Regions from separate parts of the Mus musculus genome. Here all the other regions are reported to be linked to region 2. Evidence: microRNA targets listed by miRTarBase, many of them from high-throughput screens and not tested one by one. Region 2 holds a microRNA gene; each other region holds the end of a gene's coding sequence. Distances are from middle to middle.
The links. The annotated mature microRNA mmu-miR-466f-3p reads CAUACACACACACAUACACAC and lies in region 2 at 2,991-3,011, shown strand. An mRNA with a match to its seed (bases 2 to 7 or 8) in the 3' UTR can be bound and repressed. Matches are read on the target gene's strand: a 7mer-m8 pairs with bases 2 to 8, a 7mer-A1 pairs with bases 2 to 7 and ends in A, and an 8mer does both.

Region 1 (4,061 bases), 2.5 Mb from region 2:
GTAATGAGTTAATGTTTTTACACAGGGTCCATTTTCTAGTGGATGAGGGCTATGAAGATCGGATTCTCATGGCACATGACATACACACAAAGCATCGGTTGATGAAGTACGGAGGTCACGGCTACTCACACATCCTTACCAACATTGTTCCTAAGATGCTCCTTAGAGGTCTGACTGAGAGGGTGCTTGACAAGATACTCATAGAAAACCCTAAACAATGGCTGACTTTTAAATAGGATGGCTGTTCACGAACCCAGACCTGGAGGATACAATGAGCAGAGAATAGTTGGTGATTTCAAATCTACTGGAGACATTAATCCAGTCTACATAGAACTGGTGAATGGTCACTTCTCTCCTATGAGAAGCTGGATAACTACCACAGGGACATCTCTGGTGGGGGCCACAGGGCTCAAGTGAGTCCCATTGTCTTTCCTTAATAAAATAAATATTGATAAAAGAGCATGTTTCCAAACAGTAGTTTAAAACTATATCCCCTAAGAATCATTTTGGATGTCTTCCCCAACCCTGACTCTGTGATCTGCACTACTTGAGAAAAATGAAAGTGTTTCTAGCTAAGTTGCCCCTTCTGGAGCAACCTAATGTTTCTTGTAATATTGATGATCCTACTAATTATCCTGCTGTTCTTTAATTAATGCTTAATGAATAATATGGCATTTTAAAATCACTTTTGCAACAAGGGAAGTTAAATTTTGAGACATTTTTTCCCAAAGGAGACTGCAATAAAATTACCAATTCACAACAATAAAGAAATTTCGAAGGTTACCTATGTGTTTTCCACTTATTTATGTAAACAAAATATATCATTTTTTTTCTGACTTTGGCTTTCTGGTCTCCATTTTTACTGTTAACTATGTTGTGTTTTTGAAAATCTATCAAAGAACATATAACAATAGTGAATTATAAAAAATGCAATTATAAAAGTAAAAATATATTACATAATATAGTTTAATGAATCATTACAGTTATTATAACAAAGGCCACAATTTAATTAATTCATGTTATAATGCAAAGAAAAAGAGAAATGCTTGCCTTATATATAGTCCTTTTATTTCATGTACCTTTTATTTCTTTTTTTCTCCGGCCTAAACAGAGAAAATAATGCTTACTTATCTAAAGAAAAGGTCAGGTCTATTGGAAATGACAGTCTGTTTGTAAACACTACTCTTTAGAAGAGATCCAGCCATGAAGTTCTTTTCTAATAAAGCCTTTTCAAAATGTTAGTTAAAATGCTTAATTGATGAACACTGTTGTTTATAAGTTAATCCTTTGAATCCTCGTTATGTGATTTGGTACCCAAGACAAATCTTTAATCCCTTGCTTGCAATCCATAAGTATATGCTGTTAAATAGAAGTTAAAAGTGTAGCAATTCATTGGTGAATTACCTTACATATTAGAAGGGCCAAATCGAATTAGTCACTATTCTTGATGAATGATCTAAGTGTTTTTATCATATAAATCACGACAGTTACTCAGACCAAGGCATTTAAATACAGCAAACACCACCTTTAGATGGGAACACCATGCATAACTCTTGGAAAAGTCAAGGTTTGCTAAACTAAAGCTATTTCTGTTGATCATAGCTGATCAAGCTCTCTGTATATTAGAACAGAAAGTACCAAAGTTGAGTGAGCCAAAAGAACAGCCCAGTTCCTTTAAAGGTTAAAATGCAAATGTCCTTCCCCAGTAAACCAAGCAGAGTTTTAAATCTCTGGCTTTGAAATCTACTTGTCAAAGAATGTTTAAAGGCAACTGAAAGGGGAACAGATTTTCCACTGTAAGAGGGGGAATTGTGTGTGAGTAGGACATGTTCGTATGCATTTTGATCTTCCCCTTACACCAAAGAGATGGCTCTTGGCAGTGTGTTGTAACTAGCGAGAATGGGTTCGCACTACACTATCAGCTTCAATCCAACAGAAAGAAAAAAATAATTGGCTGCTCAAATGTGTATGTTTCATTACCATTGTAAGAGAGAGCTACTTGCTTCCTAAAGTCCTGTAATAGTCGTCTGCCAAAGAATGCAGATGAAGTATGGATTGCATGTGGAACACAGTTACCATGGGATCAACTAGGTCTCATGTGTGACATAGGGCACTGGAATCTACTGTGATTTGACTTTCTGAATAACTCTTAAAGAGAAGTCACCTTTATTATTTTGCTACTCTATGTATTGGTATCATCTAAAATATATTTTGATCTAAAATAAGTCGAATAATTTGTGCATGGTTCTGTGTGTATACATATATACTTTTTAAATTCATTTTTGAGCTGTACAGCCACTGTGCTTAGTGGACTGAAGCCATATATATATATAATATTTTCATCTAACATATATGTATATAAATAAGTGTGTGGCAGATATTTATATAAAATATATACACTTTGTTGTCATGTCGGTTCTATGTGAAACTGTTAATTTTGAAATAACCTCAGGCTACAGATTTGTGGTAACTGTTTGAAGGCCTTACTTAGTGTCCCCTTGGTGACGCATGCAGTAGCTCAAGTTAAACTTTTGTGCCTTAGGTTATGAACGATCTTTTGTTCCAAAGAAGGCAAAAGCCTCCATCTGACTTCATACCAAAGAATAAATTTCTCTGACTGTTCAAGAGAGTCTAAATGTATTCTATTGGAGAAATGGACACACAGGTTTTTTTTTCTAAATACCGTACATAATTATACATTTTCACACTTAGAGGGGAATCCTATGATACAATTTCAATCTCTATTTAAAAAAAAAAAGATAGAGACCATCACCAGAAAAGAGAGAGAAAAGAAAATTCACATGAAAAGAAAAAAAATGTGAAAATGATCACAGGCTTGGGAATTCCACAAATCCAGAAAATTCCAGGTTAAGGCTTCAAGTTGAATCATTCCCAGGTCTAGCTCTAAAGATAACCAGAGTACAAGGCAAACAGTATCTTTGGGGACAAGCAGCATTACTTCAATTAGACCTTCTCCTGCAGGGAAAAATGACTCCTCCCTATACTACAAATAGACTCCAAGTAGCTTAATAATAAGCAGGTAAACTCACAAGAACCAAAGCTGACACGTGAATAAAGCAGCAAGATCACAGGACACCAAAGTATCATAGATATTGAAGAAATAACTCAGTGTCTTAGATTTTTCTATAAAAATTTGTGGTCTATATAGGACTTCATTCACATGGACACTAACAATAAGGAGTATTTGCTTTGGCGGTAGTGGATCACACATCTGCTTATCTTGCGTTAAATACTTTTTTTTTACATAATGTGTCTGAGTGATACAGATGTGAGTCAGGTAGCATTTGATCTCCCCACATTTACACAACTGAGATGCCCAGCAATGGGCATCCCCTGGGATCCTTGATTCACTGACGTTAGCCATACGAATCCAGCGTTCAAACTCAGAACAGCAAGCTCAGTCTCTGCATTATCAGTCAGCATAAATAATAAATCCAGAGAATGTGCTGTATTTGTTGTTGTTTCCTCCGTGGGCTTTCCCACCATCTAATTTGATATAGACTTCATCTCCTGGTTCCAGGTGAAGGACCACACTGTTACTGGCATAGTCGTAATTCTGATCAGCATCTTGAGCAATTGCACTAGCACGCACCTATGTGAAACAGACAAGAGTTAGTTTGTAAATAGAGAATCCTTAAGTTGCCCCTTTTACATAATAGCAGACTTGCAGCCATAGCATACAATGTAGCACACTGATGTTGCTGTTGGTCCCATAGGTTTAGAAGGAATTTCCATAACAACTTCAACTATGTTACTGGAAAGAGAAAAGAGAAAAAAAATGTTGCTTTAATAAGGGACATTGCTGCCATCCTTTCTATCCTTGTAAATAAAGCATGCCAATCTAATTTTCTCTTCAATTGCTGCTTTTTCTGATTCCTCGAATCTCCACATCCAGTCACATTTTGAAATGGAAATAGCAGTATTGTTTTGCATTTTAATTTAAATCAAATAACAGCATCCCGACTAACTGTGTACTTCAATGGGTCATCCTAATTATTAGAAATCTCATATCTCGAGTGGTAAAAGACCTAGAGAAAATA
Region 2 (4,063 bases):
ATGAATATACATATACATACACACCCATATATACACGCATTCATATGAACACATCAACACACACGCAGGAATGGTATTCATCGATTTATTTTATTGATATGTGATTTAGAGCTTTAGAAATTATGTAGTACTGGGCCAATGAAACTTTTTACTCACCAGATATAAACGATTGGTATAGTCAGAAAGATCTGGAGTTCAAATTCATGCTTAACTTCATAATGAGTTAGAGATCAGCCTGGTATTCCTGGGATGTACCCCGTGTATGTGCATGGGTGTATAGTTTTGTGTGCATTTGCCTGTTTGTATATGAATATACATATCCATACATACAATCATATACAGGCACACAAAGACACACAGACATGAATGGCACTCAGTGATTCATTTGAATGATATGTCACCTCAAGTTTTGGAGGTTATGCAGTACTTGGCCTGAGAGGGGTCTCAGTCAGCAGGTGATAATGTTTACCAGAGTCAGTAGGCCCAGGGCCTGGCAAACGCAGAAGTGGATGCTCACAGTCAGCTATTGGATGGATCACAGAGCCCACATTGGAGGAGCTAGAGAAAGTACCCAAGGAGCTGAGGGGATCTGCAACCCTATAGGTGGAACAACAATATGAACTAACCAGTACGCCCCGGAGCTTGTATCTCTAGCTGCATATGTATCAGAAGATGGCCTAGTCGGCCATCAGTGGAAAGAGAGGCCCATTGGTCGTGCAAACTTTATATGCCTCAGTACAGGGGAACGCCAGGTCCAAGAAGTGGGAGTGGGTGGGTAGGGGAGTTGGGGGGGGAAGGGTATGGGGGACTTTTGGGATAACACTGGAAATGTAAATGAAGAAAATACCTAATAATAAAAGAGTTCAATTTTATCCTTAACTTCACGATGAGTTAGAGAGGAGCCTGAGATTTTTGTGATGATCCCGTGATGTATGTGTGTATATTAATATACATATACATAAACTCATACATACACATACATGTGACACCCACATATGAATGGCACTCATCGATCCATTGGAATTATTTGTGACTTAGAGCTTTAGAGATTATGTAGTACTTGGCCACTGAAAGTTTTGATTCACCAGGTAAAAACCCTTGCCAGAGTCATCAGTATCTGGAGTTCAAATTCATGTTTAACTTCATGAAGAATTTGGGATCAGCCTGGATTCATGTGATGTCTCCCCTTGAATGTGCATATGTGTATACATAAGTGTGTTCATGTGTATATGTGTATATGAATATACATATACATACACACAAACATACATGCATGCATGGACACACACACACATGAATGGCACTCATTGATCCATTTGTATGATATATAATTTAGAGCTTTAAATATTATGTAGTACTGGGTCAGTAATAGTCTCACTCATAAGGTAAAAACACTTGCCAGAGTCAGGTGAAGAGAGAGTTCAAATACAAAATTTACTTCATGAAGAGATAGAAATCAGACTGGGATGTTTCTTATGTATGTGCATGTGTGCATATATGTATGTGTGCATGTTAATATATGCATATAAATATACACATATAAACTAACCAACACAACATGCACACACACAGAGACACACACAAATACACACACACACACACAAACTCAAAATTGATACTCATCTATCCATTTGAATGATATGTAACTTAATGTTTTAGAGCTATGTATAAATGGGTCAAGGAGAAGTCTCACTCACTAGGTGAAACACTTGCCAGAGTCAGGAGGATCAGGAGTTCAAATTCATGCTTAATTTCACAACGATTTAGAGATCAGTATGCAATTGATGTGATGCACACCAAGAATGTGCATGTGTTAGAGTTGTGTGCATATTCACTTCTCTATATGAATATGCATATACACACATGCACACACAGTAATGCCACTCATATATCCTTTGAAATGATATGTGCCATAGAGCTTTAGCGCTTATGCGGTAGTGATCCAGAGCTATGTCTCAGTTAGGAGGTGAAACGCTTGCCAGAGTCTGGAGGATCTGGAGTTCAAATTCATGTTTAACTTCATGATGAGTTAGAGTTCATCATGCGATTCATGTGATGCCCAACAAGAATGTGCATGTGTGTATAGCTGTGTGCATATTCACTTCTCTATATGAATATGCACATACACGCAAGCACACACAGGAATGGCACTCATATATCCTTTTGAATGGTATGTGACTTAGAACTTTAGAGCTTATGCAGTACTGATCAAGAGCTATGTCTCAGTTAGGAGGTTAAGTACTCTTGCCAGAGTCAGGAGGATGAGGAGTTCAAATTCATATTAAATTCATGATGAGGTAGCAATCAGTCTGGGATTCATGTGATGTCCCCCGTTTATGTGCATGTGTGCAGAAGTGTATGCATGTACATGTGTTTATGTGAATATACATATACATACACACATATACACACACATGCAAACATACATGTAGGAATGGTACTCATCGATGCATTTTAATGATATGTGACTTAGACCTTTGGAGATTATGTATGACAGGGCCAGTGTCAATTCTCACACACCTGGTGAAAACCCTTGTTAGAGTCAGGAGGTATAGGAGTTGAAAATCATGCTTAACTTCATGAGGAGTAAGAGATCATCCTGGATTCATGTGATGCCCCCTATATATGTGCATGTGTGTATACTTGTGTGTGCATGTATATGTGTCTATATGAATATACATATACATACACACCCATATACACACGCATGCACGGAAACACAAAAACATAAACATAAACACAGGAATGGCACTCATTGATCCATTTGAATGATATGTGACTTAGAGTCTTATAGATTATGCAGTAGTGTGTCAATGAACGGTCTCACTCACCAGGTGAAAGTTGTTGACAGAGTCAGGAGGATCAGGAGTTCATATTCATGCTCAATTTCAGTTAGTGATCATCCAGACATTCATGTTATGCCCCTCATGTATGTGCATGTGTGTTTACGTGTGTGTGCATGTGCATGTGTGTATATGAATATATGTATACATACACACACACATACACACGCACGCAACACACACACACACACACACACACGACACTCATTTATTCATTTGAATGATATGTGACTTAGAGTTTTAGAGATTATGTAGTACTGGGCCAGTGAGTGCTCTCACTCACAAGGTGGAAATCTTGCCAGAGTCAGGAGGATCAGGAGTCGAAATTCATTCTCAACTTCATGTTGAGTCCGGGATCAGCTTCTGATTCATGTGATGCCCCCAGTGTATGTGCCTGTGTGTATATGTATGTGTGCATGTGCATGTGTGTATATGAGTATACATATACATACGCACATACCCATACAAGCATGCACACAAACCCAAAACTGCCACTCATCGATCTATTTGAATGATATGTGTCTTAGAGTCTTAGAGATTCTGTATGACTGGGCCAGGGAGAGGATTCACTCACCAAGTAAAGACCCTTGCCAGAGTCAAGATAATCAGGAGTTCAAGGTCATGGTAAAGGCATGATGAGTTAGAGGTCATCCTGGCATTCATGTGATTGCCCCTATGTATGTGTGTATGTGTTGATGTGTGTGTACATGTACATGTGTGAATATGATATACATACATGCACACATAAGACACATATGAGCACATAGACACACAGGAATGGCACTCACTCATCAATCTATGTGACTGAGAGCTTTGGAGATTATGTGTGACTAGGTCAGGGAGAGTTATCACCCATCATATTAAAAATGCTTGTTAGAATCAGGAGGTCAGGAGGTCAAATTCATGCTTTATTTCATGATGACTTAGAAATCTGCCTGGGATTCATGTGATGCCCCCATGTATGTGTACATGCGTGTACCTGTGTGTGGATTGTGTATATGAATATACATATCTACACACGCATAGACATGTACACAGACACACAAACATGAATGCAACTCATCGATCCATTTGAATGACGTGTGACTAAGAGTTTTAAGATTCTGCAGTACTGAATAGGGAGAGGTCTCACTCAGCAGGTGAAATCCCTTGCCAGAGTCAGGTGGTCCTGGAGTACAAATTCATGTTTAACTTCATGATGAGTTAGAGTTCAGCATGCG
Region 3 (4,061 bases), not on the chromosome of region 2:
CAGCAAGTTCTTCCTGCGCTTCCCAGCTCAGAGATGTTCATGTGCGCAAACCCTTTGCCCAGCACCTACAGTGCTGAGAGCAGAAGCAGGCTGCACCGAGCTGCAGCCCAGCCTGGGAGCAGCTGAGCAGCTGTGAGACAGTTCTCAAGCTGAACTTGCCATTGGAAATGTGGGATGTATCCTTCCTACTGCTTCTGAACACCTCAGAAACAGAGGGCTAAGAACTGCATGCAATACAAACTACATGCACACACAATCAAAAATGTCATTCCAGTCTCAGATACCATGCCAAAGCGCTCTCAGTAATAGTGACCAGTCGTTTACTACAGAATGTGTTGTCACTTGAGGAGCCTTGTTCTGCTGAGAAGAGTACGCCGAGGTGCATCTGATTGTAACAGAGTGTTTTGTCTCTGGTCCCTCCTAGCATTACAACACCTCCCTGCTAGCCGCAGCTGCAGCGGCGGTCTCAGATGACCAGGACCTCCTGCACTCCTCCCGGTTTTTCCCGTATACCTCCTCGCAGATGTTTCTCGACCAGCTAAGTGCAGGAGGGAGCACATCTCTGCCAGCCACCAACGGAAGCAGTAGCGGCAGCAACAGCAGCCTTGTGTCTTCCAACAGTCTGAGAGAGAGCCATGGCCATGGTGTGGCCAGCAGGAGCAGCGCAGACACAGCGTCCATCTTTGGCATCATACCAGACATTATCTCATTGGACTGACGCTCTCACCCTGCTGCTCCCACCCCATCCCAGATTAAATGACTTGGCAGAAGAGAACTCTATGCTCTGTTTTACCTTATCCTGTTTAGAAAAGTATACAAGCGTGGTTTTTTTTTTCCTTTTTTTTAGGGAAAAAAAAATTAAAAGAAATGTACAGAGAACAAAACTATATTTTCAGTTTTACTTTTGTATATAAATCTAAGACTGCCTGTCTGATAAAACACTTGTTTAAAAAAAAAAAAAAGAAAAAAGAAAAAGAAAAAACAAGCACCCACAAACCTTCAGTTCATTTTTTCTGGATTCTGAAGACTTCACCATTTGTCCTGTGGTTTGGGTTTTATTTTACTTCAATGGCATTATCTTTCTTGCAATAACGGAAACAATTGCATGTATGAGGTTTAAATTGTGGGCTTTGTTGTGGGGATGGGTTTGGGATAGCTTTGATTTCCATTTTTTAAAAGTGACAGACTTGGATTCTGTTTGTGTGTGCGTAGATTTTACCAGCCTTAAGTTATGAGCCTCGTCTATCTTACTGCATACCCTTTGTTTTCAAGACAGAGCTTGTGTGCGTGAGTGCGTGCGCGCGTGCGCGCAAGAGCGCCTGTGTACCTGTATGTGCTGTTCTGTCGTCACTCGCCCCTCCTCCTCAGTTTGCATTTGGTTATTATCACTCTTGTGTGAGCATCTTTCTCAACTCTCCCTAGGTGCATGTTCTCCATCCCAGATCCTCTGTGATCTGCTGTCTACCCTCTACGAGTGTGTTTCCCAGAAGTGCTGGAGCAAACGCTGCTTGGATGCGCAGTCTGTGGGCAGGCCCTCGAATGACAATACACTTCTGTTGATTCTAAGTCTGAATTGCCAGTATTCTGTATGTAATCCAAGGCTGTGAGCACTTGCATTTTGGCAACAGGGTAACAAGTTTTCCTTGAGGATCTTCATACCAAAATGGGATGTGAAAGAACCCCCGTAGCCCCGTGGGGTGTGGAGCTGGCAGAGGTCGTTCCGTTCCACCGAAAGAAAAGAAGGAAGGAAGGAAGGAAAGAAAGAATCGGTTATCCTAAAGTTAACAGTACAGCACAGCCCACATGTGGATCCATACCAAATCTATCTGATAAATAGTTGAAACTCAAAAATAACCTTAGTTATTTTGGTTTTCTGTCTCCGAGTATACTTCCTTTCTTAGCCGTGTTCTTTTTTCCTTCACCTTTAGTGAAAGCATGACATAGGAAGCCTTTTTTTTTTTAAATTCAAGAACCAATTGGTCTCACCTACTCTCAATAGCAGAATATGTAAATATATTAAAATTTGTTTCAGGAGGTGATTAAGGGTCAAAGGAAGGAAAAAATACTTCTCATACTTGAGAGTCCGCAGAGAAGAAAGCATGCTCTGACAGTGGGAGATAGATGGCAACTGATGGAGGATGCAGGTGTAACTGCAGAGAGCCAGGGCACACCATCACCAGCTCCTGCACTGGCTTTTATGTCCCACCTTCATGTTTTCAGAGTTGTGGAAGGACCATCTTTGTGTGTGGTAAACTTGTTTTCAAGCCTTGCATCCATAACAGAAGGACCGGTAGGTATTAATCCAGGTAGAAGTCATGATGACTGTGTCTTCAGTTGTATAATAAAGGAAGTGGTTCACATGACAGCGTGGCATCTAAAAATAATATCTATTTTATAGTCTCTCTGCTACTAAAATGTCGACTTGAATTTTTGAAAAAAGTTGGTGTTGATATGTATATGTGTGTGTGTGTGTATATATATATGTATTTATAAACAAGTGCGTGTGAGTAACATCATCGTCTTCCCCTACGCATGTGTGTTCCACACAGAAACGGCTGTGTTAGAGTCACAAAACAATTCGCAATAAAACAAGACATTTGTTATCAGTTAAAACCAGAAATAGTTATGTTTTTAAATTCATCTGGTGTTATGAATACAGGTTCTACCATCTCTCATTACTGTATTAATTTAGACTCACTTCAGATAACCATAATTTGTCTAAATTGGGATTATAGTGGAAATCACTGAAATTTTGAGGTGTTTCTATTAACATAGCAATAGGAAACATTATTTTAACTGAGGTAAAATGAATAGTTTTCTTTGTTCTTGGTTTTGTTTGGGTGTTTTTGGTTTGGTTTGGTCTGGTTTTGGTTACTGTTAGTAGTTTTAGGATACTGATGCATAGTTTTTTGTGTCTGATGCTGAATTACAAACTTAAAATAATCCAGTTTAAACCAGCTCTCTGCATTCTTCATGCCAGCTATAGAGGGGTCACTTTCCTTCGGTGTCCTGCCTTGTACCAGCCTAAGGGGAGAGCCGGTAACTGGAGGAATAGATGCCCTGTGGCTTTGGTCATGTCCCCACGGGAGAACAAGCCGTTTGGTTGTCTGTATGTTTTAGTTCCTTCCATTTACTGAGGAGTTCACTTCTTCAGTGTTGACGTTCTAAAATGTTGCATGTGGTCAAGTTCAGTCAGAGACTTTCACAACCCTGAATAATTATTAGAGCCACACACCACTTTATCTCCTGCATTAAAAGAAAAAGCGCATGGTCACTTTGTCCCGTTGTTGTCGTTTTTCCTTAGGCCGACCTCACTCCCCAGCCCTGCCAACCTTGATTAATAGGCTGTGGACAGATAATGTTCTCAGCATCTTTGATTCAGCAAGCTGCCAGGAGCTCCTTCCTTAGTCTCTCCCTCTGGCATGTGTTCTCTACAGTATCGTGTGTGTGCTCCCGTCTTTCTGTAAGCACACACCATCAATAAAGTAGCCATTCAGCCAGGAGGGTAGAGGTGGCTTTTAATTTACCATGTGGGCATTACTGGACACATTTTTTTAAATATGAAACTTAACCATGCATACTTTGTTGAGTATTGAAGTTGTTCCACTGCTAATTTAGATGTTACACATCTACATTACTGACTTCAAGAATCACTAAAGGTTTGAAAAATGTGGGTTCTTTTGGTGGCGGTGGTGGTGGTGGTATATTTTTTTTGTCGTTGTTGCTTTTTGTTTTATTCTTTTTTTCAGCCAATTTTCCTTTTGAGACAAGTCTGTGAAACCGAATGAAAATATGCCCTAATTGTAAATGAATAAATGTAGAAAGAACCTAGTTTTTAAAGCAGTTTCAATTTTAAATACATGAAACTTTCAGAATCTTCAGGACTCTTAAAGCACATTTGAATTTATTTTGGTAAGAATTTTGTTTTGTGGATACACGTTGAATTCTGTTTTTTTTTTAATTAAACACAAAGTGTAGCTTTCAAGGAGGGAGGGAGAGTAGCCGGTGGTCCCAGAGCGTGCTGCTGCTGTTTTATTAACATAGGGGAAGATGTATATAAA

Region 1: the mRNA of Pter is a reported target of mmu-miR-466f-3p. Seed matches in the 3' UTR shown: 7mer-m8 at 1,964-1,970 and 8mer at 2,251-2,258.
Region 3: miRTarBase lists Pias1 as a target of mmu-miR-466f-3p. Seed matches in the 3' UTR shown: 8mer at 2,469-2,476.

The regions. Positions count from the first base shown.
Region 1 is chr2:13,000,832-13,004,892 of GRCm38, forward strand. It overlaps Pter (phosphotriesterase related), which reads left to right. Exons shown (of 6, transcript NM_001305437.1): 6 at 26-2,623. The coding sequence ends at 236. C1ql3 (C1q-like 3) reads right to left here. Exons shown (of 2, transcript NM_153155.2): 2 at 1,056-3,613. The coding sequence ends at 3,434. Among named protein-coding and RNA genes, the nearest start is that of C1ql3, 8.0 kb to the right of the region's middle.
Region 2 is chr2:10,469,017-10,473,079 of GRCm38, forward strand. It overlaps Mir466f-3 (microRNA 466f-3), which reads left to right and starts at 2,937; the gene lies at 2,937-3,030. The region is part of intron 10 of Sfmbt2 (Scm-like with four mbt domains 2); the gene reads left to right. It overlaps Mir669l (microRNA 669l), which reads left to right; the gene lies at 1-52. It overlaps Mir669d-2 (microRNA 669d-2), which reads left to right and starts at 2,628; the gene lies at 2,628-2,713. It also overlaps Mir297a-2 and Mir466o.
Region 3 is chr9:62,878,625-62,882,685 of GRCm38, reverse strand. Pias1 (protein inhibitor of activated STAT 1) reads left to right here. Exons shown (of 14, transcript NM_019663.3): 14 at 425-2,609. The coding sequence ends at 718. Among named protein-coding and RNA genes, the nearest start is that of Calml4, 23 kb to the right of the region's middle.